Arabidopsis thaliana: one gene and its partners. The main gene of each other region encodes a partner of the protein of the gene in region 2 in a complex. Each region holds a gene or a part of one and is shown on either strand. Other genes may lie near its edges.

Region 1 (7,055 bases), on a different chromosome or scaffold from region 2:
TGTGGAAAATGAAGCGGAAACAAAACTTATATTACCATATATATCGCATTCGCGATAGAATTGTCTAAGAGAATGGACGTAGAGAGTATCTTGATAGCCTTCAAAACTACACCGATAAAAACTTGATCCTTCCGCATTGTTCCTCAAAGCCACTGCCTGATGTTTTTCAGGTCCGGCTGTGTTTCTGAATGTAACATCAACCGCCATGAACCGCTCTCCAACCACAGCTAGAAAATAAAAATAAAACTATATATCATTAACTAAGTAATTCCAAATGACAAAAAGAGAGATAAGAATACCAACCGAAGCTCGAGCAATTATACGTAGTCCAACCATCAACAACATTATGGTTCCCTGTAATAATCGTCTTATTGATCCCATCTCCCATAAGCATTAAGTTCTTTTTGTTGATGGGAACAACAATATATTCTTCATAGACACCTTCTCTTGCGTAGATAACAAAGTAACCATCCTCTGGTCTAGTGTTATTAGGTGCGGCTGCAATAGCATCGGTGATGGTTGTGAAGTTGTCGGATTTGAACGGACCGACGATCACTGCTTTACTCACGAGGATGGAACCGCCGCTGGTCTCACCTAGCTCCCCTAAGTTCCGGCTAGTTTTCCGGCAATCTTTGTCGTTGTCGCATGTTTTACGTAAACCCTATACCAGAAAAAGAAAATGTGCTTAGTACATGATTAGCTTGTAGACTCATGCCTTTTTAAAATCAATGTTCATTGTAGCCACACATGAAATGACCGGGACACTCTTATGCACGTGAATACAGTTGGATCCGAATGGGGACCAAATTGATTTCTTTTGTTAAAGTCAAAGATAGGACTCATTTGATCATTGTTGAGTTGTACTAAAATGTGCGTAGGCCATGTGCCATTTACTCTCTTACGCGTGTTCTGGCTCACACACACAAAACAAGAGCACATCCATTTATGACTCGATCTAGAAAATTTTAGATATGCACGAATATTAAATCATTCCGTGCGTCCAAAGTAGTAAATTCATACCATATTTAACTTAGTATATGTCCTCCTACGATGCTTATCTATTCATACATGTATGTCCAAAAAGGCTTTTGCATAACCTTTCATTATTCATGTTTGAATTGTGGTGAGTGGTGACCATACAAAAATTATTATAAATCATCGATTTAAAAACTCTGTTTTGATTTTTTCTAAGGATTTATGATAAGAAGGCATATATATATATATATATATATAATGTTTTTGGTATTTCCCCAAATTCCTATTCTTATATCTCTATGCCAACCATTTCAAAAATATGTAATGTCTTTACAACTAGATTATTAACAACTTTATAATAATATGTAAAGGAATGTATAAAAGCTAGTATAAACAAACAAACAAAAACGAAAAAAGAAAAGAATTAGAAACAAGTTTTAATTAATTACCTTAATCAAAGTCTCGAGCGGTTCGCGATAGGTTGAGTTCCCACCACCAAGAATCTTCCCTTTGGAGGCTTTAAACCTCTTCAGGTTACGGTTAAGTGCGTGGCTCACAAGTCCTAACGAGATACTGTAAAGGCGAGTGAGATTCCCCATCGGCGAACCAATCGCGGCGGCGAAACCACTCTTAGCCTCCACGAGTCCGTCAAGACACGTCTGCTGATTCGTCACTACACCACTGAGAAGACTGTTCACATGCTCGACGAGAGCTGCCGTCATCACCTGCGCCGTCTTAAGCTCCGTCGTGACGGTTTCAAGGTAGTTCACACTCAGCTCCGATAACTCGCCGCAGTCCGCCACCGCCCCTATTTCCTCGGCCGTGGCCGAGCCTGGTTTGCTTTCCACGCGCCGCGCGTAACTGGTGATGACTTTGGATAGACGGCTTGCTTGCTTGAGGCATTGCTTTATAGTGAATTTGCCGTAACGGTAAGGATCTGACGGTGAGGATTTGACAGCGTTGAGGATCGTACGGCAAAGCTTAGGGTATGGAGTTGACTTGCAAGCGAGAGAAGGTGACTGAGACTGTGACGGAGGCAAAGAAGGTGGCTGTGACGGTGGCACGAATATTGGTGGCTGTGACGGAGGGAAGAATGGTGACTCTACCGGAGGCTCAAAAGGTAGCTGTGACGGAGGCTCAGAATGTGGCTGTGATGGAGATTGTTGTGATGAGATAAGCAGAGCACATGAGAGGAAGATAAAAGACAAGAACAAGAGAGAAGAAGTGAAGTTTAGTGTTTGCATTTTCATCCTTTTTGTTTTGTTTGTGTATTGATGGTGTTTGTTATTTTGGATCTAAAATCTGCTATATATATAGACTATACGAGGAGCTTTCTGCTATTTAATGAATGCATGGGCTCGAGGGAAACTGAATTTATCATTTATGTAATGCATGTTGGTCTAATAATTAAGGGTTATACTCGTTTTGGTCAAATGAAGAGTTTTTTTGGAGCCGGTGGTCCACCGTCACGACGACCAAACATGGGTTGACTTGGTTAGGAAAGGTTTCTTCATGTGATTTAACCGTAAAAAATGGCTATTTTTAGAGCTTAATTTTGTTTAGCTCAATTTGTTATGCCAGTTGACACTGTAAAAAATTAACATTAATCAGACATGTCAAAGATGAATTTGTATTTAATTTAATTTATAATCAAACAAGCTGTGTTGACTTGGAAGAGGGTTTCATATCTATTATTTGACCGTAGATTTTGCATGTGATGTGTTGGGAAGCTTTTAGACAAGGCAAGACGGTGCAGCCTAGAAGAAGAAGTCGTCACTTTGTCGATTACGCAATTCACACTAACAAGTTATGGTCCATCTATATACACACTCTTCCTATTCATCACATATCGTTGTAATACCAAGTACCCAAGGTAACCATTAATAATCCAAATTCAATATTTGTTTCAACTAATGAAATATGTATACTCTATTAGAATTTGTATGATTTGTTTTAGGTGAAAGCTTAAATTGAAACTCTGTTACAAAACCAAAACCGGACATCAAACTAAGATCTATATTATTCAATTCGGAGGATACATACCCTGACCAAATAAACCGAACCAAAACAGATTTGAAGCTAATAATCACGAATACAACCAAATGATTCTGATTACAGACTAAGAGAAGCTTTCCCACCACATAAACTAACACAAAAAAAGAAGAGAGATATCTATTAGAGGGAATGTTACAAAGAGAAGAAAAGTTTGACGTGGACTTTCAGATCAAGCATGAGCAACAGAGACTGAGTCTAGTTCACGGCCATGAACCCTGAAGCGGTAGATGCAAGTGTGTGAAGAGCTTCCATGGTTGGAATTGAAGTCTAGCCTGACAGTGTTGACAAGTCCTGAGTGAGCAGAGTCTGCAATGTCGAATGTCTGTGCATTGGACCTGTCTAAGTCGTAACTGAATTCTGTAAGAAGGGGCATTGTCTCAGTCTCCATATCTATGTCACCTAGCCATCCTGATACACGGCAATCCTTTGGGGCGCTCGATCTGTCATATGCTACAGCCTGTTCGATTAAATGGTGCATAACATAACCGTAAGATTAGTATTGCCTTTTAGTGGTCAGACAAGAAGAAATTTATCAGACAAATGATCACAAGGATGAACAATGATGGAAAGCAATGTGTGACCATCACATTACACACTCTTGAGACTATTTCCCTTCAGCTACTGTTTCCTAAGGATATCCGTAAACAGTGAATATTACAGTTCCACTAATTGTAAACTTACAAGCTCTTCCCATACATACGGTTCTTTTCTCTGTCAACGATGTCCCAAACAAAGCACAACAACACAGTGGCATTGATATTAGACAAAGGAACTGCTAAAGCTAGTGATTTGCAGAAAATAACAATAGGTAAAATCCTCCTCAATGCATATTGTCACAGCTAGTGCCTAAACTAAACCTCAAACTATAAGAACTCAAATTCACAAAACTAGTTTCTTGCCCTCTATTCGATAACCTATTGTCACCAGCAATCCAATCCGAAGTACAGGGCATCTCAATACCAACAACATTTAACAGAGAACCCTTCTTGAAGGCTCAAATTAACATATAAAAATCAATCATTTTGTGAAAGTTTAGTATTGAGATGTTAGTACTACCTTAGAGACATGTTCCAAAGTAACAGCTTCTGGAATTATTGGTGCTCTTAGCCTGACTAGAACATATCCATTGCTTCCTTTCAGAGGAAAACACTGTCCAGGCTCCCCGAAACTCGGAGTTAACATCTTAACCGCTTTGCTATGAACCCGTCTCCTGCTTGTCCCAAACCAATTACGCCCATTTCCAACAAGAAACGGATCCGAATGCCCCATTACAAAAGCTCCACCAGACGCTAACGCATAATCTACTCGACCAAGGCCATCTGCAACATGTTTCCCTATCTCTTTCTCCACTATGTCACGAGCATAAGCCCTCAGTTTATCAATGTTAACATCAGAATCACCGACCTTACCCTTCTTCAACTCCTCGTAAACTCTCTCTAACTCCTCTCTAGACACCAAAGGTTTAGCATTTAACTCATCTACAGAAACCTGTAACCTCTCTGTCTTAGACTCTACCTTCTTCAACTCACTATGTAACACAGAAGATGTGGAATCTATCGTCTGCCTCAATGCTCTTGATTCACTATCCATCTTCTTATCAAGAAACTCAACTTGAACCTGCATCATCTTCGTCGTAGTCTTCACCAAACCATCAACTGCAGAAATCCGACTCTCCAATTCCGAAAGCACCATTTCCGTTTCAATTGGGAAATTCGAAGAAGACAGAGACGAATCCTTCAAAGTCAATTTCCTAATCAACTGAATCAATCCAACAAGTAACAAAAGAGCCCCAAATTGCTTCGCGAATACCCTAACCACTGTCTTCCATTTCCCTCTATCTATCTTATTCCCCTGAGACTTCCGCGTCCGACGCTGCGTGGTGGTTGTATTAGTCCCCGTCGCGGTGGATCCTGATTTCCTTGTCACCGGACCTACGTCGTAGGTGTTGGATCTCTCACCGGCAGCCTCGGCGCGAATCAGATCCTTGTTCGTACCAGCAGACGACTCTCCAATTGCCGCATTGGCATGAGATTCGCTCGGCGGGAAATCAAAATTAGATTTCTTCTCACCGGAGAGAACCGGCGTCCGCCTTATTGTCCTAGGACTAGCGGTGATTGACACCGTTGACGCCGACATGATCTTCAATTTTGAACTACAGAATTCGAAATGCTCTTCCTTATGAATAAATAAACCCTAATTTTGACTACAGAGAGAGAGATTTGAAATGGAAGAAGAGTGAGGAAGTTTATATAGGAGAGAGATCACTACAAAATTCAATTTTGAAAATCTGAATCGTGTGTTCTTCAGTTTCGCCATTTTTATTTGTTTTGATGCTCCTCCATTTTTTTCAAAATTCATTATGATGGGCTTTTAAAAGCCCAATAATGGAAATAAAATGGCCCAGCCCACTTTCACGCCTCGTCATCTTCTTTTATGCTAAGAAGAAACTGTTGCTTCATCATTCTTGCATATCAAGATATCTAGAGTCGAGATAAGCTCATGATTAAAGAAAGTAAATTTATTCACCAGACTATTATTATATATACACAAGGGTACGTTATAAGCATTTATGGAATGTAATTAGATTTGAACCACAAAGAGACTTTTGACATGAAAGTTGATACTTCCTTGTCATTGTTTCTCTTCACACAGTGGTAGTTTTCTGATGGGAAGAAGAATCAGAGATTGGCATTCTTATCTTTGCAGATTCCTTCAACAAATCGAATGAAGAAAAGGAATGTGGCGGGAGAACAACGGTCATATCCTCCTCTGCCAACTCTAGCAAGCTTTCATGTGGTACAACCTGCAAATAAAAACCAATAAGAACATGGGAACACTCAGAATTTGTGATGATAATGATGTTTCTTCCATCTCTTGATTTTTACCTTCTCTGGCTGTGAGAAGGAATTTTCATCCATCACATTGGTAGAGGTAAGTACTGTCTTCTTTGATCCCGAAACTCTCATCACGTTCGGGTCCAATCCAGTTACCAACACTTGCATATTTTCTGAGTTAGCTCCGAAGTTTACAGCCTGCAAATAACAGATTTTGAAACAGTTTTTTAGGGTCAATATCAGAGCTCCGGTTGAATCTTTCACTCGGTTTACCTTTATGCGTATGTAATCTTTGCCATTGTTTTTCCAAGAGATAGCAGATGCAACAAGAGAAGTAGAGTTTCCCTTGAGTGTTGAAGTGAGAAGAGTTGCTCCGCTTGACTCTGCAAAAAACCGTTGAACCCAATAGCTAGGTGTTCCATATAGATGAGAGGAGTTGAAGACTATTGCATCAGGGTTCCACCTGAAACCAATTTAACAATTTGAGATTATTGCCTTATCTTCCTGAGTAACCATTCGAACGGAAAAGTAAGTGAGAGATACCGTCTATCATTTGTGTTCACAAAGAGTGGAGCATAACTTGCCATTTCAACAATGTCACTGCAAAAAGTCATAAGATGTTTAACTTATTTGATGTTTTTAGTTGAGATCAAAGCCTGGGAAGAGAAATTCAAAGGGAACCTATTCTTTTCAAGACCAATGAGAAACGCAGCTTCTGCAAGAGAGGCAAGAAGGCTTCCTGTACCAGCATCTTTTCCAGTAACAGCATATTCACTGACAAAAGCCTGTAAACAAAGTTCACGAGTGAGTAAAACGCTGAAAGCTTCATCTTGTGTTTGTTGGAATTAAGTTTTGTTATAATCTATTACCGCACCTTTGGACCTTTGCGTGAAGTGCGATCAAATTGATGATACATGGAAAACAAATTGCTAGCAGAAGTGTAAATCTGTGACAAAAAGGAAACACTTTTTTCAGGCGGAAGAGAGAACACAAGACAACGGTTACAGTTTCTGTCAAGATAGAAAATTTTACGTGATAGTCATAGTAATCAGCTGGGTGGTCGAGTGGATGAGAGGATCCATCGCAGTTGGAGATGATTTTGATATCTGGATAGGCTTTCTTGATAGCATCATAGAACACAATGTAGTTTCCTGTAAAGTTGTAATCTCATTTAGTGTCAAAGATGCTCAA
Region 2 (7,370 bases):
ATTGAAAATGACTCATGAGTTGATCTAGGAAACATGCTGCATAAAAGGCAAACAAATATAAGTCAGCGAGCGAAGAAAATACACGTATGTGGACAAACAAGATGAGACAGGAATATTGTACCAAGCTTCATCTAAGAGTGCAATCACCCCAATAGGCTTCTGCAGACAGCAAAAATAATAATAGTAGAATTAGAAGAAGATAGATCAATTTTACTGTCATGTCTGCTTGATTATAACAAAGCAAAAACATTAAAAAAAGGACACAATTCTTGAGGCTGGCAACTACAATAGAAAACTTGAAAAGAAGATACACTATTCTATGTTATCTCTGTTATCAAAGTCTACCATACCAGAATGCAATAAAACCATTGACCAAAAAGGGAAATGTCTTTCACAAAATTCTATCATTCTTGCATTTATAGACTGGGACCTTTATCATCCATATTCTATCATGGGAATAGCAATGGCAGCTTGAGTAACTTTAGACACGGTAAATGTATTGGCTACATTAACCAGCCCAACGTATGACACAGTACAATGTAACATTAGTGATACCGTTAATTTCAAAACTATGGAGTTGAGTAATGTCACAGGAGAAAAATTAACATTGAACCGCTCGAATTTTTTTGAGTTGACATGATTCAACAAATCCCCTGTTTAAAGGGTGGTGAACTCTTTACTCGACAATCTAAGTAAAACTATAATAAATAAATAAAACGACATGATATATTGACACCATGATCAAAATCCCATGTTAAAGGTCTGATACAATTTAAGCTGTTGCAAGTTTCAAAGATCACAAAAGGCGAAGGGGCAAGAAAGTAGAACAGAACAGGATCTAAAATCTTAATCTAATTAAAATAGAGAGAAACGTACCTTCTCAATAAGGTCCAAGACATCTTGGTTGTCAATAAACTCGATATAACTCCAATTAATTTCTTCTTTTCTGTACTCATCCTGCTCCATCTTGAATACATGCTGAAAACAGACCAGAGACCATAAGGAGAGGAAGCAATATACTAAATCTGGCAAAACATTTGAAAATGAGTTCCCTATATTACCTCGTTGAAATGTTGCTGCAGCTTTTCATTTGCAAAGTTGATGCAAAATTGTTCAAAACTGCAGAATGAATCAGCCCAGATAAAGTTTACACAGTTCACAGCTAAACATAGTGCACCATATATAACTAACAAAGAATTGGGGCTGAGAAAGGAAAGAACTATCATTTAATTAGTTCCATGGATCATCGCTAACCTGTTATTCTTAAAACATTCAAAGCCATAAATGTCCAGGACTCCTATTTGAAAACGAGATTCTGGATCTTGCCCAACAGACTTATTGATCTTATCAACCAGCCTGACAGAAGCATAAAACGAATAGTTCAAACATAAGTGTAGTACATCAACAAAACATCCATTAAATGAAAGGATTAAGAAAGTCGAAAGCAAACCAGTCAAATAGATGGGCGTAAACAGTCTTCGCGAGGGTATCCCGGCTAGTAACAGCAGCATTAGGGTCAAGTGCTTTGATAATGATACCTTCACGGGTCAGAATTGAACGTGTGCAGAGCGAAGCCAGCAAAAGATTTGCATCACACCTGATTAATTTTGCATGGATACAACAAAATAAACAAGCTATTTCTTCGTATGCATAATTAAAAATGAGTACTATCAGAAAATTTTATGTACTTGAAAAGATCAGCAGCCATCTGCAGATGATGTCTAGATTCCGGATCCTTTACCACTGAAGAGTCGTGCTCTCTCCCTGAGGAAAACTCAACATTTCCAAGATGTAGAATCGCAGCAAGTGTGCGAAATATCCCTTCCTGATAAATGATTTGTGCAGGAAACAAGCAAGGAATTTCAGAAGCTGGCAGAAGAAAAACATATGAAAATTCAATTAGAAGTCGTTATACCTGCTCATCCTGACTTATGCCCACAATATCCATTGCCCTCCTTGTATTCTTATACTCTTCTGCGCTGCTGACTCCTTCTAATTCATAGGTCTTGCTTTGATTTAGATAATGAAATTGACGAGGGTTGCTTAGTTTATATTTCTCAGCGTCCTAAGCAAAATAAGAACATTTACAGATTAGTAATTAGCGTAGGTAAATTGACAAACTCAGCGAGAAAAACCTGGCGTAGCTCAATCAGATAATAAGAAAACCAAAACCAATCTCTTATGACATGTATATAGAGCTGTAAAAAGAATTACATTCCCCGAAGCGCACAATTGATAAAAACAATGATAATTCCTCTCGGGGTCTGTTATCCGGACAACACGTGATCTCTCCAGAAGATAGGTTCTGATTGCGGCACCAGATATTCTACCATTTGTGTCAAACTGGATTTCGACAAACTTTCCAAAACGGCTGAACAGCAAAAGAAGATCAGTAGATTGGTCAGTAGATTCGTCTAAAAGCTAGGCACACAAAATTTCAACCAAAAGGTTTACTAAAACCATATCAACATCATAAAGTGCTGTTATCACTGGGTATTAAGGATACTATCATGAAAAATTTGTTGACAAATGACATAAGAGCAATTAAAGATACACCTCTCAATTTTCATTGAAAAAATAAACAGAAAGAAAAAAAAAAATCAATAACCCACCTGGAATTATCATTTCTAACTGTTTTTGCATTGCCAAATGCTTCCAAGAGAGGATTTGACTGCAGAACAAGAATACTTAAATTAGAATAGATAACTCGCAAATAAAGAAAGTCAAACATGATCACCCCTAAATATTTATCTGCAAACAAATACCAGGGGAGGAAAACAAAGGCATCTATCCAGTTCTTTTTTTCTCATTGAACAAGATAGAAGACACAAATTTTATAACCAAAATCTTACTTCAAGGACTTGCTGCTCAACACTTCTATCATCGTCAGTAGCACGTCCCCCAACAAATGTAAGATACTGCATGATTAGTTTGGTTGTCTCAGTTTTTCCAGCTCCACTTTCACCGCTAACAAGTATTGACTGACTTCGACTGTCGTCAATCATTGCTCTGGGTTATAAAGAATAACTATGGTTAATAGATTAACATGACTGATAGTAAGATTTTAAAAAATCAGAAACATTAGAGAAAAAAGAGTGGATCACCTGTATGCAACATCAGAAACTGCAAAAACATGAGGACTGAGCTCACCGAATGGTGCTCCCATGTACTGTTCCATCATGTGCCCATTGTAGAGATGTGGAAGCTTTTTGAATGGATTAACAGCGATCAGAATGCTTCCAGTGTATGTCTGAAAAAGAAGTCGAACGTATTTGTAAGAAGATAATGCAGTCATGAATGATTTACTATTGGAACTGCGTAAAAAGCTGACAGTTATGAGTGGCAAAAAGAATGATACAGGAATTATTACCACCAATACTTCCAACTAAATATTATCATCTCAATGGGGACATAAATAAATTAGACACCAAGCTGCCACCAAATGTTTTACAAAAGGGCAAGCCAGCTGAGTACAAAACTGTCTAAAAAATAGATACTTTCACCTACTAAATACGGAACAGAAGCTCTCCATAACTTTAGAAGGAATATTGAACCTACAAATAATTCACAGTCACAGGGCAGTCCAACAAACTAACAAAAAGTTGTTACGAATACACAAGGTTGATTATCCCGCTCCCGCCAATAATATTGTTAATATTGAAAAAAGCAATAGTTAGGGTTAGATCACAAGATGTTTGAAGTGCGATTAGATACCAAATAGGCAAGTAAATGCCTGTAATGATATATGCATTATGTCACAATAAATTTCTTCACTTCGATATCTATCTTTTTCGGCTAAATAATATATCAGGTCACATCTAGATGCATCCATCATAAAGAACCTGAATCCACTTCACATGGAAACATGTCTTACACCACATATTAATACACAAGAAACTCCAAAAGCAACAGTAACTCGTTCTAGAGGAAAACTCCGGCCAGTGAGTACACTAATACCACTACGAAAATGAGTAAACTTCCATACGGAATGAAATCCGACTCAATAAAGTACCCCCGGAAGTATAGAAACTAAAAATTCAAACTCCAAATATACTCAGAAAGACCTCTCAATAAACAATACCAAAGAAAAAAAGAGTGAAAAGAACTCACATAGATATCATTCAGAGCATATCTCCTCTGTAGATTATAAAGAACACCAGCTTCGTGCAAGTATGTCAGTTTGGTCATATCATCCACTCCATTATGCTCTTCATCGTCAGGATCCCTCCGAAATAGCTTTTCCGGGGAAACAAAAACCTAAAACCCCAGAAAAAAAATCGCACAACAGCAAAAATTAGCATGAATAAAGCATGAAGAAGAGGAAGAAGAAGAAACAGAGCTAATTCAGCAGAAATAACGGTTAATCAGACCTTCTTCCCAGTAGAAGTTTCAACATGGAGTTTGTTATCAAAAGAATCGAGGACATCAGCAGCAATCCAAGCCAAATCCTTATCTTCGACCCAAACCTTGTCGCCCTTGCGCAGATTCAATTCCATTGGAAGACAATTTCTCATGAACTCGTGAAGAGCTCGACGAGAAAACCCTAGAGAATTAGATTGGGGGAAGCAAGAGTCATAGAGAGAGAAAGAGAGTCCGTGAGGTTGCGCCAGAGAATTTTTCAAATTTCAAAATGAAGAAGAATTGAGAAACCCTAAGGAGATAGAGAGAGAAGGGGCGAAATTTTACTACTGTGGAGTTTTTTTTTTTTAAAGGTTCAAAGTTACTTAAACCGCTACCCAAAAAAGTTCCCAAAAGCAACAAAAAAAAAAAAGAGCATCAACAACAACAATTACTTCCCGCCCTCTCGGATTTTGCATTAAAAAACAAAAGAAGACTAGATCCAAAACAAAAACACAGAAGTTTTTAGGGATAAAAATTTACGTCACATTCCGGAGTAAATGCCAAGTTTATTATCTTTGATTCGAATCATTTATAGGGTTTAATCCTTACTCGCAAAATTGATTTCACATTAGTAAAACAAACTGTGTAGTTAATTTACTGACGCTAAAAACTTGTTATTTTTAGTAATTTAGCAAATTAAAAATAGTAAGTCAAAAATGTAGAAGGCAATATTTGAATATAACATTCTTAAACGATAGTTAGTGAGGTTTATTTATATTTATTATAATTACTAGATCTCTTTTATAGAGAAAATATTCCAAAATTTGTTGTCGATTATTGTTGTTGTAATTTCATATATGGTGATGAGAGTCCAAATAAGAGTTTGGGGGAAGAAGAAGTCCAAATTATTATCATCCAATACGCATGAGTCCAAATTTACATTCCAGATTTCTTCCTTCATTCATATTTTAGACTTTAGTTTCCAAAAAATATACTAAATTTTTCTTACCCCCTACTTATTCCAAAAGTTTTATTTAATTTTTATCTTTGTTATGTGAGTCAATGTGGATCAAAGCTTAAAAGGTAAATTGATAAGGTAAATATAAGATCTACATATAACAGTAGCAACAATATCATCAACCACGTACACAAAAAAAGTACTAATGTTGTTTAGGTTTGTGTCATCACACAAGCATCCTAAGAAGGCCACAGTACAAACTCCAGAGGCCTATATGCACTACTGAAACTTATGACTTGGAGCCATTTACAACCCAAACACCACACCACACAACACATTATTTCTATAATCTGCAGAAAAAGTTGTATATAATCAAACATTTGGCGCAAAACCCTAATCTTGCAAGAGATTTGGACTGCTGAAAACGCGTTTCAAACTAGGGCACACTGTTCGGAACTTTGACATGCTCACCGAGGATATCTGTTAATTCACCAAGACAAGGTTTTAATTGTTACATAAAAATGGATTACTTGCTAAGTTTTCAATATCGAAGTTAACACTCGTTTATTGTTAGTACCTTTGGACAGAAACGAAGATCCAATGTCTCGAGTGAGCTGCATCCTGATATAGCCGCTTCAACTCCTGCTTCGTCCATGTTACAAGACTACCAAAGACAAAAGGTACCAAAGTGTGTTTAGTGGTAACATATAGACCCAAGCTTAAGGTACCAAAGTGTGTTTAGTGGTAAAAGTTACGGAGCAAAAACATACCTGAAGAAAGAGACTAGCTAATCTTGGACAGCCGAGCTTCAATACTTCCAGAGAGCAACAGTTGCTAGACAATTCGAAATGGAATTAGCAATAGAATAAGACCACTCATTTCATGGAAGATAAAGAATATAAGTTATCTAGCAAATGCAAAAGCTCAAACCTTAAATTAAGTAAAACCAGGTTGGAACAGGTGAGATCAACCTCCTTCAGATTGACCGATAACGAAAGGTTCAGTGTTGATAAATGGTAAAAGCGAGCTGCAGGTGGTATCAGCACTTTTCTAATATTGGGGCAACCCACACAGTTTAGGTTTTGCAGTAACCGATTGGCTGTTTCAGCTGGTTCCTGGGTATTGTCACTAGAACTGTAGACCCCAAAGTAATCAAAAAGATGTACACTGGTTGAACCCCAATCCAGGTCATGCATGTTTACACATCCGTTCAAGCTCAAATGGGTCAAGTGTGTGCAGCACGCAAGTAGATCATCTATCGCAGTCTGACAGAGAGTTCCATATGACAGGTCCAACTCCTCAAGTGCCGGTAAAGCACCTTCTTTGTATAGAGGCTCCAATGATGAGTCAGTAAGATACTTACAGGCTTGTAATTTGAGTACCTAAACAATAAAAAGTCTCAAAGTAAGCCCAAAAGCAATATGAATCATGAATAGCTGATATACAAAGAATGCACACAACAACATAACTCAAGAAGTTTTCATTGGCAAGATAATGTATATGCTCTACTGCTGACGGAAAGGGAAACATCCAGCATCATACAAGTCTTAATGCCTTAATTACCTTAAGTTGAATACAGGACTTGAAGACGGGTTCCAAATTCATCAAGAAAGTGTACGATAAATCAAGAACAGTCAAATTTGGGAGCCCGTTCAAGGAAGACAAGCCATCAGAGCCAATAGACGGGCATGACATTAGCACCAATGACTCAATGAGTGGGCAAGAAGCAGTGGTTGCAGACAGACAGTCATCCCTCAGTTGACTGGAATGGGGGAAAATGATTAGCAGCACGATAATATCAGTCACATAAATAGAGAAAAAAACAAAAAAAAAAACAAATAATTACCTGCAGAAAGACGCATCTAAAGATGTTAATAAAGGACACATAATGGATGCTTCAGACAGTACACCACAACCTTTCAATTCAAGGGACACCATATAAGGTGCTTCGATATTGAGCACACTCAATTTTGGGCATATTCCTAAATTTAGAGACCGCAGAGCGACCTATTCACAACAAGAAGGAAGAAGCAAGAAATCCATCAGTTAAGATATGTTGGTTATTTGATAT
Region 3 (6,848 bases), on a different chromosome or scaffold from region 2:
CTCCACGCCTCCACCGCCGAACTTTGAGCTTAATAAAGATACTACAGACGGGGACTTAATAAAGATACATCACATATCATCAAGTAACATAACGAAAAGAAACATATGCGCCATGTTTTTGAAGAAAGATCTGGATATATGGATATGCCTGTAATTCACTACAAAAATGGCACTTACTAAAAGAAACAACAAGAGAGACACTAGTTCACAGTTAGTAACCTCCTCACTAGCTCTAAAGCCATAATAAAGCTGACAAATCCTCCAACTGATAGAAAACATTACATTTAGAAAGAAAAAGAAAACAAGTTCTATAGAGAAAAGGAAAAATGTTACAACAGACACGTAAGACAACAAAAGGGAGAAAAGCTACTGAGCCACTGTAGAAGCAGTAGCTCCTGATTCATGTGAAGACTTATATTCCAACATCTCAATTCTGTATCTCTCCACATCCTTAACTCCTTTGTCTTGATAAACCTGTAATGATGAACAAATTTGTAAGCAAACACTGGTTTAATGAAAAAAAAAAAAAAGTGGATATAATTCGATGATGATTGGTTACCTGTTTCTCAGATTCAGTGAGATTGCTCCACATGTGTCCTATTTTCTTAGTGATGGATCGTTCTTGTCCATGGTACTCAGGTTTAAGCCTCGCGTACTGCTCAGCAAAAAAGAAGTTGTAGCCACTCCTGTGGCATTTGGGTTTTTGAGTATCGACTACAGCCAACTTTGATTTCTTCCTATGCCGGCGTTGTGATGATTGTACAATGGCTGAAGGTGTTTCCATGGTTTGTTGAGACTGACTTGGCGTTTGAGGAATGTGGTAAAGGACACCTTTCAGCTCTTGAGAACCCAATTTCATCGTCACCAGATAGCCGCTATCAAACTTCCCATCAATGAATCCTTGAACCTCATACCCAACTTGTGGTTCATCAATACCTGCAGGTTCCACAATGAAGCACAAAGACACACGGTCAAAATTTTACTAGACACACACGCGGTAAACTCAAAACATATAAGGAATGGAATCAAAGGAAAGATAAGTGTATATTTATTTGTTCCAGTCTAAAAGGAGTGAAACAGAGCCAATATTTGTAACACGTTAAACTCAGGAATCTTTGTCACGTGAGAAAACTAATGAACCAGATTGGGGAATTAAAGGCCTACCAGACATTACTTCTTTAAAGAGAATCTGTAATAATAAACTTCTATCCAACGGAATACTAAATACAACATACTACATACTGATGAATGGACAAAGATATGGAGGGAAGAATAAAAAAGCCACAAGAGTTAGAGAAACGTGTCTTATACCTTCCTCAGGGTTTGGAGATTCATTGGCAAGGCTCTTCAATGCTTCATCTGGAAAAGCATGAGAATTTTGGCTTATCTCAGTATGTAACAGAGCAACGAAAGAAAAGGTAAGACAACGATAAGAATTTTAGTGCTGAAATAGACCTGTTGATTGGAGTGAAGACACCGGTTTTTCAAGGTAATACACATGTTCCAGCTGAAAAAGAAACTTGAGATAATACTTCCTCAAGACAAACGATGCACTTGTTATCGTTGTCGGAAAACTGAATGCACCAATCACTTCTTTCCATTTCCGATCCTTCACCACCTAGAGTAAAAAAAACATACACACTTCAATACTCAATGGAACAATATTAATCTCCCAAAAGTATGATTAACGGTAACATGAACTCATTCATACCCTTTCGATACCACCTCGAGACGTAACCTCGATGAAAAGCCGATGCAGATCAAGAGTGTTTCCTCCCACAGTAGGAACCCTTTTACAGAGACGGAAAATGTTTCATTACCAGACAGTGATCAATTAATAAACACAAGAGACAAAACAACACACATTAAGCCTAAACTCGTTCATAGATATAATTACAGTATCCAGATTAGTAAATACTAAATCCAGTTTGATTTCATTTCCTTATGAACAATATAAACAGGTAAAGAATACGATAAATCTAATTCAACAGACGATACACATGACATAACGCACTTCCTGCTTAAACTTCACCAATCCGGAATCCACTAAACCCTAATTGACAATTTTCAACATTTCACTGAGCAACAAAATCTAATTCTATTGCTTTCAATCTCACCAAACAATATAACAACACCTCAAGCCTTAAATCCCTAACCAATCTTCGGGAGAGATACAAACAAACAAAGTTGGGTTTTTTCTTCCACAATCTTAAACCAAACGAAAAGGTCTCACAAAAATGTGAAAAGGGTAAGAAAGAAACTGACTTCAAAGTCTTGCTGGTTAATCCGAGGAAAGCTCGGAGCTTTTCCCAGAAGAGAGCAGAGTTACGGACAAGATCATCATATTTGGCAGGAACAGAGGAATCGTCGCATCTCTTGTTGTCAGAAGGATAACCATTAACGGGCTCCACGTGAGTTTGAGAGTAGGGTGGTGAAATATCGGTCGACATCTTTTTTTTCTTATGGCCGTCTTGGTAAAGGTAAGAGCAATTGAGACCACCGTATTTCAGATTTTTATTTTTCTTATAAGATTATAAATTGGGACAAATTGGATAAGGATTAAACGAAATTCACACAAATTTGAATGATTTTATCTTCTGAGATTTTGCCCTAAATCATACAAACTTTTATCTGGGGACTTTAATTTTATGTCCTTTATATTATTTTTAGTCAAGACACCAATTTTAGTTCCTTCCGTTTTCGGCTTAAATTACTTTGATTAGGTTTAAGACGAAACCTGAGAGTCCAAGCCCATAGCATAAGCCTCTGCCCCGATTAAACTACTCCCTACAACAATGGCCTATTGTTTTAAAAACCAGACCGGACCGGTTGATTAACCGAATCTAGATTGAATCAAAAACCAAGATTTAAGTTAAGGTTTTATTACACTCTTGAGTCAAATCACAAAAACCGTCGGCAAACCATTATAACCGGTGATCGGATTCGATATCAAAAATCTAGTTCACAAAATAATAATGTCTCTTTAGTTGTTGATGGGAAATTTAAACATCGTAATTTAACTATAACAATGGGGACAATATCCTTGAGAGACCTTATTTATTACAATCTGGAGAAACAAAAAAAATGTTCGGTAACACAACAAGGAGAAGGAATTTTTCAAGTTGGTATTACTAATCGTGAAGCAGGAGAGAATTGTAGGACGAGAAACCGAAGTATAGAGACGAGCAAGATCAATTGTGTCAAGATATAGAAACCGAGCTTACATGTTTTTCCTAAGATGTTTCCACGGTTTGATACAGGATCTTCTTTCAGAGAATGTAACTTCTTAGTTTCTTGGAGTACTTGTAGTGAACTCAGAGATCTTGTGAGCATCAAATGTTCGATTTCAGTTTCAATCTTTCTCTGGAAGATGCATTCAAGTTCAGATTCAATCTTTGAGTTTTCGAGTTCTTGGATCCTAGCTTCCTTTGCCTCGAGAGCAGCTCTCGCTTCCTCGAGTTTGTGTTCCAGAAGTTTTACCTTCTCCTTCAAGATCAGTGCCTTTGATCCTGAGGATGTTGAGTTATCTTCTTTACAATTTTGATGACTTGGCTGGTCTGAACTCAATTCATCGGTGTTCGAATGTAGTAGTACAGATTCCTTACCTAGCTCCTGGAAACTTTGAACCTCTGCACACGTTTCAATCGCATAGTTAGTTTAGAAATATCATGTAACATTGATAATATAAACATGGGAGCTTTAGGACATGAACATTGAAACAATTCACATGGATATCAAAAATCAAGGTTCGTGTGCAAACCTTTCCAAAGAACTTCCTGCAGAACTGCAAAGCTTCTGATAGAATCTGCAAGTGCGTCTTTATCTGCCCAATGATTGTTGTTTTTCTTACTCTCTCCATCGTCTTCTTTATTCCCGTTTTCGCTTCTGCTATATGTTTGAACTTCCTCCTTAACTTGACCTTCATTGCTAAATCCCCCAATATAATTCATCGTCAATCTCTCATCTTTCTCTCCATGGTTACCAACAGAAACCGAGCCAGTCGAAAACACAAAATCACTACTTCTCAAGTCGGAATCCAAGCTGGAACAAGGCTTCTCCTTCTCGATATCCCCCCGCTCTTCGCTAGCCCTCTTGATGGTATCACTCCAGAGTTTCTCTTGGCTACCTGAAACAACCTTCCCTCCTACTACATTCTTTCCACCTATGGTATTACCACTATGCTCTTCACTTTTCTCAAACGCTTGCCCAACAGCAAACATACAACCTATATCGGGACTAAACCCGTTGGCTACCCCTGGATGATGCACCATATTCACTGACCCAACAGAGCCTTCACTACTCTGCCTTGCTTCAACTGAAGAAAATTCTACATGTTTAGAAGGAGGATTCACCAAACCAGCCAATCCACGTTTCAGTAACTTACTACCATCATCAACAGGAGCAGCCTCATCTCTCACAGGACCATCTCTTTTGATCCGTCTCCATTTCTTCAAACCAAAACCTTTCCTCGTAGAATGTACTGATCCACCAGGAGATTCAACGCTGTTCGATCGTTGAGGTGATCCAACACCTCCTTCCTCATGATCATTATCAGGCAATACTAATAATCCATTTGCAGGGACTGAATTACCGTTGTCTTCCACAGAATCAGGGACTGACTCATTCATGCCTAAATCCATTTCACAACAAAAAAAAAGGTATCAAATTCTCTGTCATCAGAGACACAAATCTGAAAATTTCCAACAGCTAAAGAACTAGATTCAGCTCACTACTTCAAAAGAAAGAACTGATGTATAGTGTTATTCTAACCTCATCTACCGAAACAACAATGAACAAAACTCAATTCACAATTCAACAATCTCATCTAATCAAGTCCAGAAATTTTTTGAAAAAACAAAATTAATGAAAACAGAGAGAAGCGACTCGAATCAATATTTAAAGCGTACCTAAAACAATCCAACGAGAGCTTGCCTGAGTTACAGATGAGCAAGAGAAACAAAATCCTAAAGAATTTAGAGTGCGACGGAGAAATCCGCCGACATTATTACCGGGAGAAGCTGTATCAACGAAAATGATTAAAGTGGACGAAATGATTCTACAGACACAGGAAAAAAAAAACATTAAAGATAAAGAAAGAGAAAAAATAATGAAGATGGTGCGAATCATACGTGGGACCCACATGACATAAACCCAGTGCGCCAAGCTGGCCGTCCGATCTGGAGTACACAACATGTCGGAATTAAAGTGTGTATATGAGCCCAACATGTTGGCCTGATAAGGCCCATTAAAACTAGACTTAAATATTTTCAAAATAATGAAAAGTGTGATTTTTCTATTTTAAAATTTAAAAGATTTATTTGGTATCATATTCAAAAATCAAAATAATGTTTTATGCAGATTTGAACATTTACAAATCATTAAAAAAATCAACTCCTTAAAATGATTTTTTTATCTATTTTTTGTATAAAACAGATTTAAAAAATAAATAAATAAATGCTAATTCTTGAAGTATGGAATTGTTTTATAAATGTAAAATCTCCATTCTGTTGAGGAAATGGGTAAATATTTAATATATTTATATAATTAAAAGTTAGTGAAAACTATTTACAATCTGAAATCTAATTCCAAAACATTTCTGAAAATTTTAGTGAAATTTTAAAATATGGACAGATAAACTGATTCATTAAATATAAATTAAGTATTTTAGTAACATGTAACAAAATGTGATTACCATTTATTTTAAAATTTATTATAGTTATTTTACTTTAGAATCTACAATATCCACAAAATTTATTTTATTTTAATATTGTTAATTGTCAAAATAGTATTTTTACTGATATCTATGAAAATATTTGATTTTGTACTAATAAAATTGAAAATGATAAACTTTGTCATAAGTAACTATTGTATATCATCTATAGTTTAAGACAGTAATTATGATTAGATATATTGTGTTTGAGACAATATTTATTTTTTAACATAATTCATATCATTATTAAACATTATAACAATACATTATATGTTTTGAGTGAATCAATAATCTATTATATATACATACAAATACTCACATTTTTAATATATTGTAAGTTGTAACAATCATTTTCTATCAACAAAAAAAAAGACAACTTCTTCTTCTTCTTTTTTTCTACCAATTTCAATTTTCACATCCCCATTTCCTAGTCCTAAAAAAAACCTCGAATAATGTTGATGCCTCCCACCATGTCTTGTTTGATTCCCAAAATAGTTTTCATATCCCTTATCACTTGTTTTGTGTGTCGTGGACCTTATGCCCATGCAAGAAGTTTGAATCCACCAGTCATGGGAGAAACTAACCCGCTCATAAAAACGATGAAGGTTCCTGTGAATATAATCTACGGAAGTTATAAAAGTGGACCTGATGATTCAGGTAAAGGTCACGATGCACCTTTACCACCAAAGATACCGATGAATATAAATTACGGAGGTTATAAAAGTGGACCTGATGATTCAGGTAAAGGTCACGATACACCTTTACCACCAAAGATACTGATGAATATAAACTACGGAGGTTATAAAAGTGGACCTGATGATTCAGGTAAAGGTCACGATGCACCTTTACCATCAAAGGTACCGATGAATATAATCTACGGAGGTTATAAAAGTGGACCTGATGATTCAGGTAAAGGTCACGATGCACCTTTACCACCAAAGGTACCGATGAATATAATCTACGGAGATTATAAAAGTGCACCATCACCACCAAAGGTATCGATGAATATAATCTATGGAAGTTATAAAAGTCGTCATGATGATTCAGGAAGAGGTCACAATGCACCATCACCACCAAAAATACCCGTTAATATAATCTACGGAGGTTATAAAAGTGGACCTGATGATTCAGGAAAAGG

The links.
Region 1: XI-I (region 2) and SUN2 share a complex: the UniProt entries of both Arabidopsis thaliana proteins name them as parts of the LINC complex.
Region 3: XI-I (region 2) and WIP3 share a complex: the UniProt entries of both Arabidopsis thaliana proteins name them as parts of the LINC complex.

What each region holds. Positions count from the first base shown.
Region 1 is NC_003074.8:3,355,357-3,362,411, forward strand, and holds SUN2 (SAD1/UNC-84 domain protein 2), read right to left. Parts: upstream 5,347-7,055; 5' UTR 5,167-5,346; coding exon 4,087-5,166; intron 3,488-4,086; coding exon 3,200-3,487; 3' UTR 2,932-3,199; downstream 1-2,931. Other genes in the region: AT3G10720 (Plant invertase/pectin methylesterase inhibitor superfamily), read right to left, coding at 36-227, 304-661, 1,425-2,225; ASD1 (alpha-L-arabinofuranosidase 1), read right to left, coding at 5,675-5,833, 5,916-6,062, 6,138-6,327, 6,408-6,464, 6,546-6,649, 6,739-6,810, 6,897-7,015. UniProt on the Arabidopsis thaliana protein: Component of SUN-protein-containing multivariate complexes also called LINC complexes which link the nucleoskeleton and cytoskeleton by providing versatile outer nuclear membrane attachment sites for cytoskeletal filaments.
Region 2 is NC_003075.7:16,010,279-16,017,648, forward strand, and holds the start of XI-I (myosin), read right to left. Parts: upstream 4,692-7,370; 5' UTR 4,515-4,691; coding exon 4,371-4,514; intron 4,258-4,370; coding exon 4,111-4,257; intron 3,251-4,110; coding exon 3,105-3,250; intron 3,010-3,104; coding exon 2,853-3,009; intron 2,672-2,852; coding exon 2,613-2,671; intron 2,372-2,612; coding exon 2,215-2,371; intron 2,066-2,214; coding exon 1,916-2,065; intron 1,826-1,915; coding exon 1,689-1,825; intron 1,598-1,688; coding exon 1,451-1,597; intron 1,357-1,450; coding exon 1,255-1,356; intron 1,120-1,254; coding exon 1,062-1,119; intron 979-1,061; coding exon 877-978; intron 160-876; coding exon 122-159; intron 37-121; coding exon 1-36. Other genes in the region: SLOMO (F-box family protein), read right to left, coding at 5,693-5,779, 5,877-5,963, 6,070-6,133, 6,230-6,681, 6,863-7,061, 7,146-7,306. UniProt on the Arabidopsis thaliana protein: Myosin heavy chain that is required for the cell cycle-regulated transport of various organelles and proteins for their segregation.
Region 3 is NC_003074.8:4,335,355-4,342,202, forward strand, and holds WIP3 (WPP domain interacting protein 3), read right to left. Parts: upstream 5,093-6,848; 5' UTR 5,083-5,092; coding exon 4,908-5,082; intron 4,631-4,907; coding exon 3,761-4,630; intron 3,630-3,760; coding exon 3,118-3,629; 3' UTR 2,932-3,117; downstream 1-2,931. Other genes in the region: AT3G13350 (HMG (high mobility group) box protein with ARID/BRIGHT DNA-binding domain-containing protein), read right to left, coding at 367-474, 560-936, 1,312-1,359, 1,456-1,618, 1,712-1,790, 2,266-2,450; AT3G13370 (formin-like protein), read left to right, coding at 6,310-6,848. UniProt on the Arabidopsis thaliana protein: Mediates and enhances the nuclear envelope docking of RANGAP proteins mediated by WIT1 and WIT2 in the undifferentiated cells of root tips.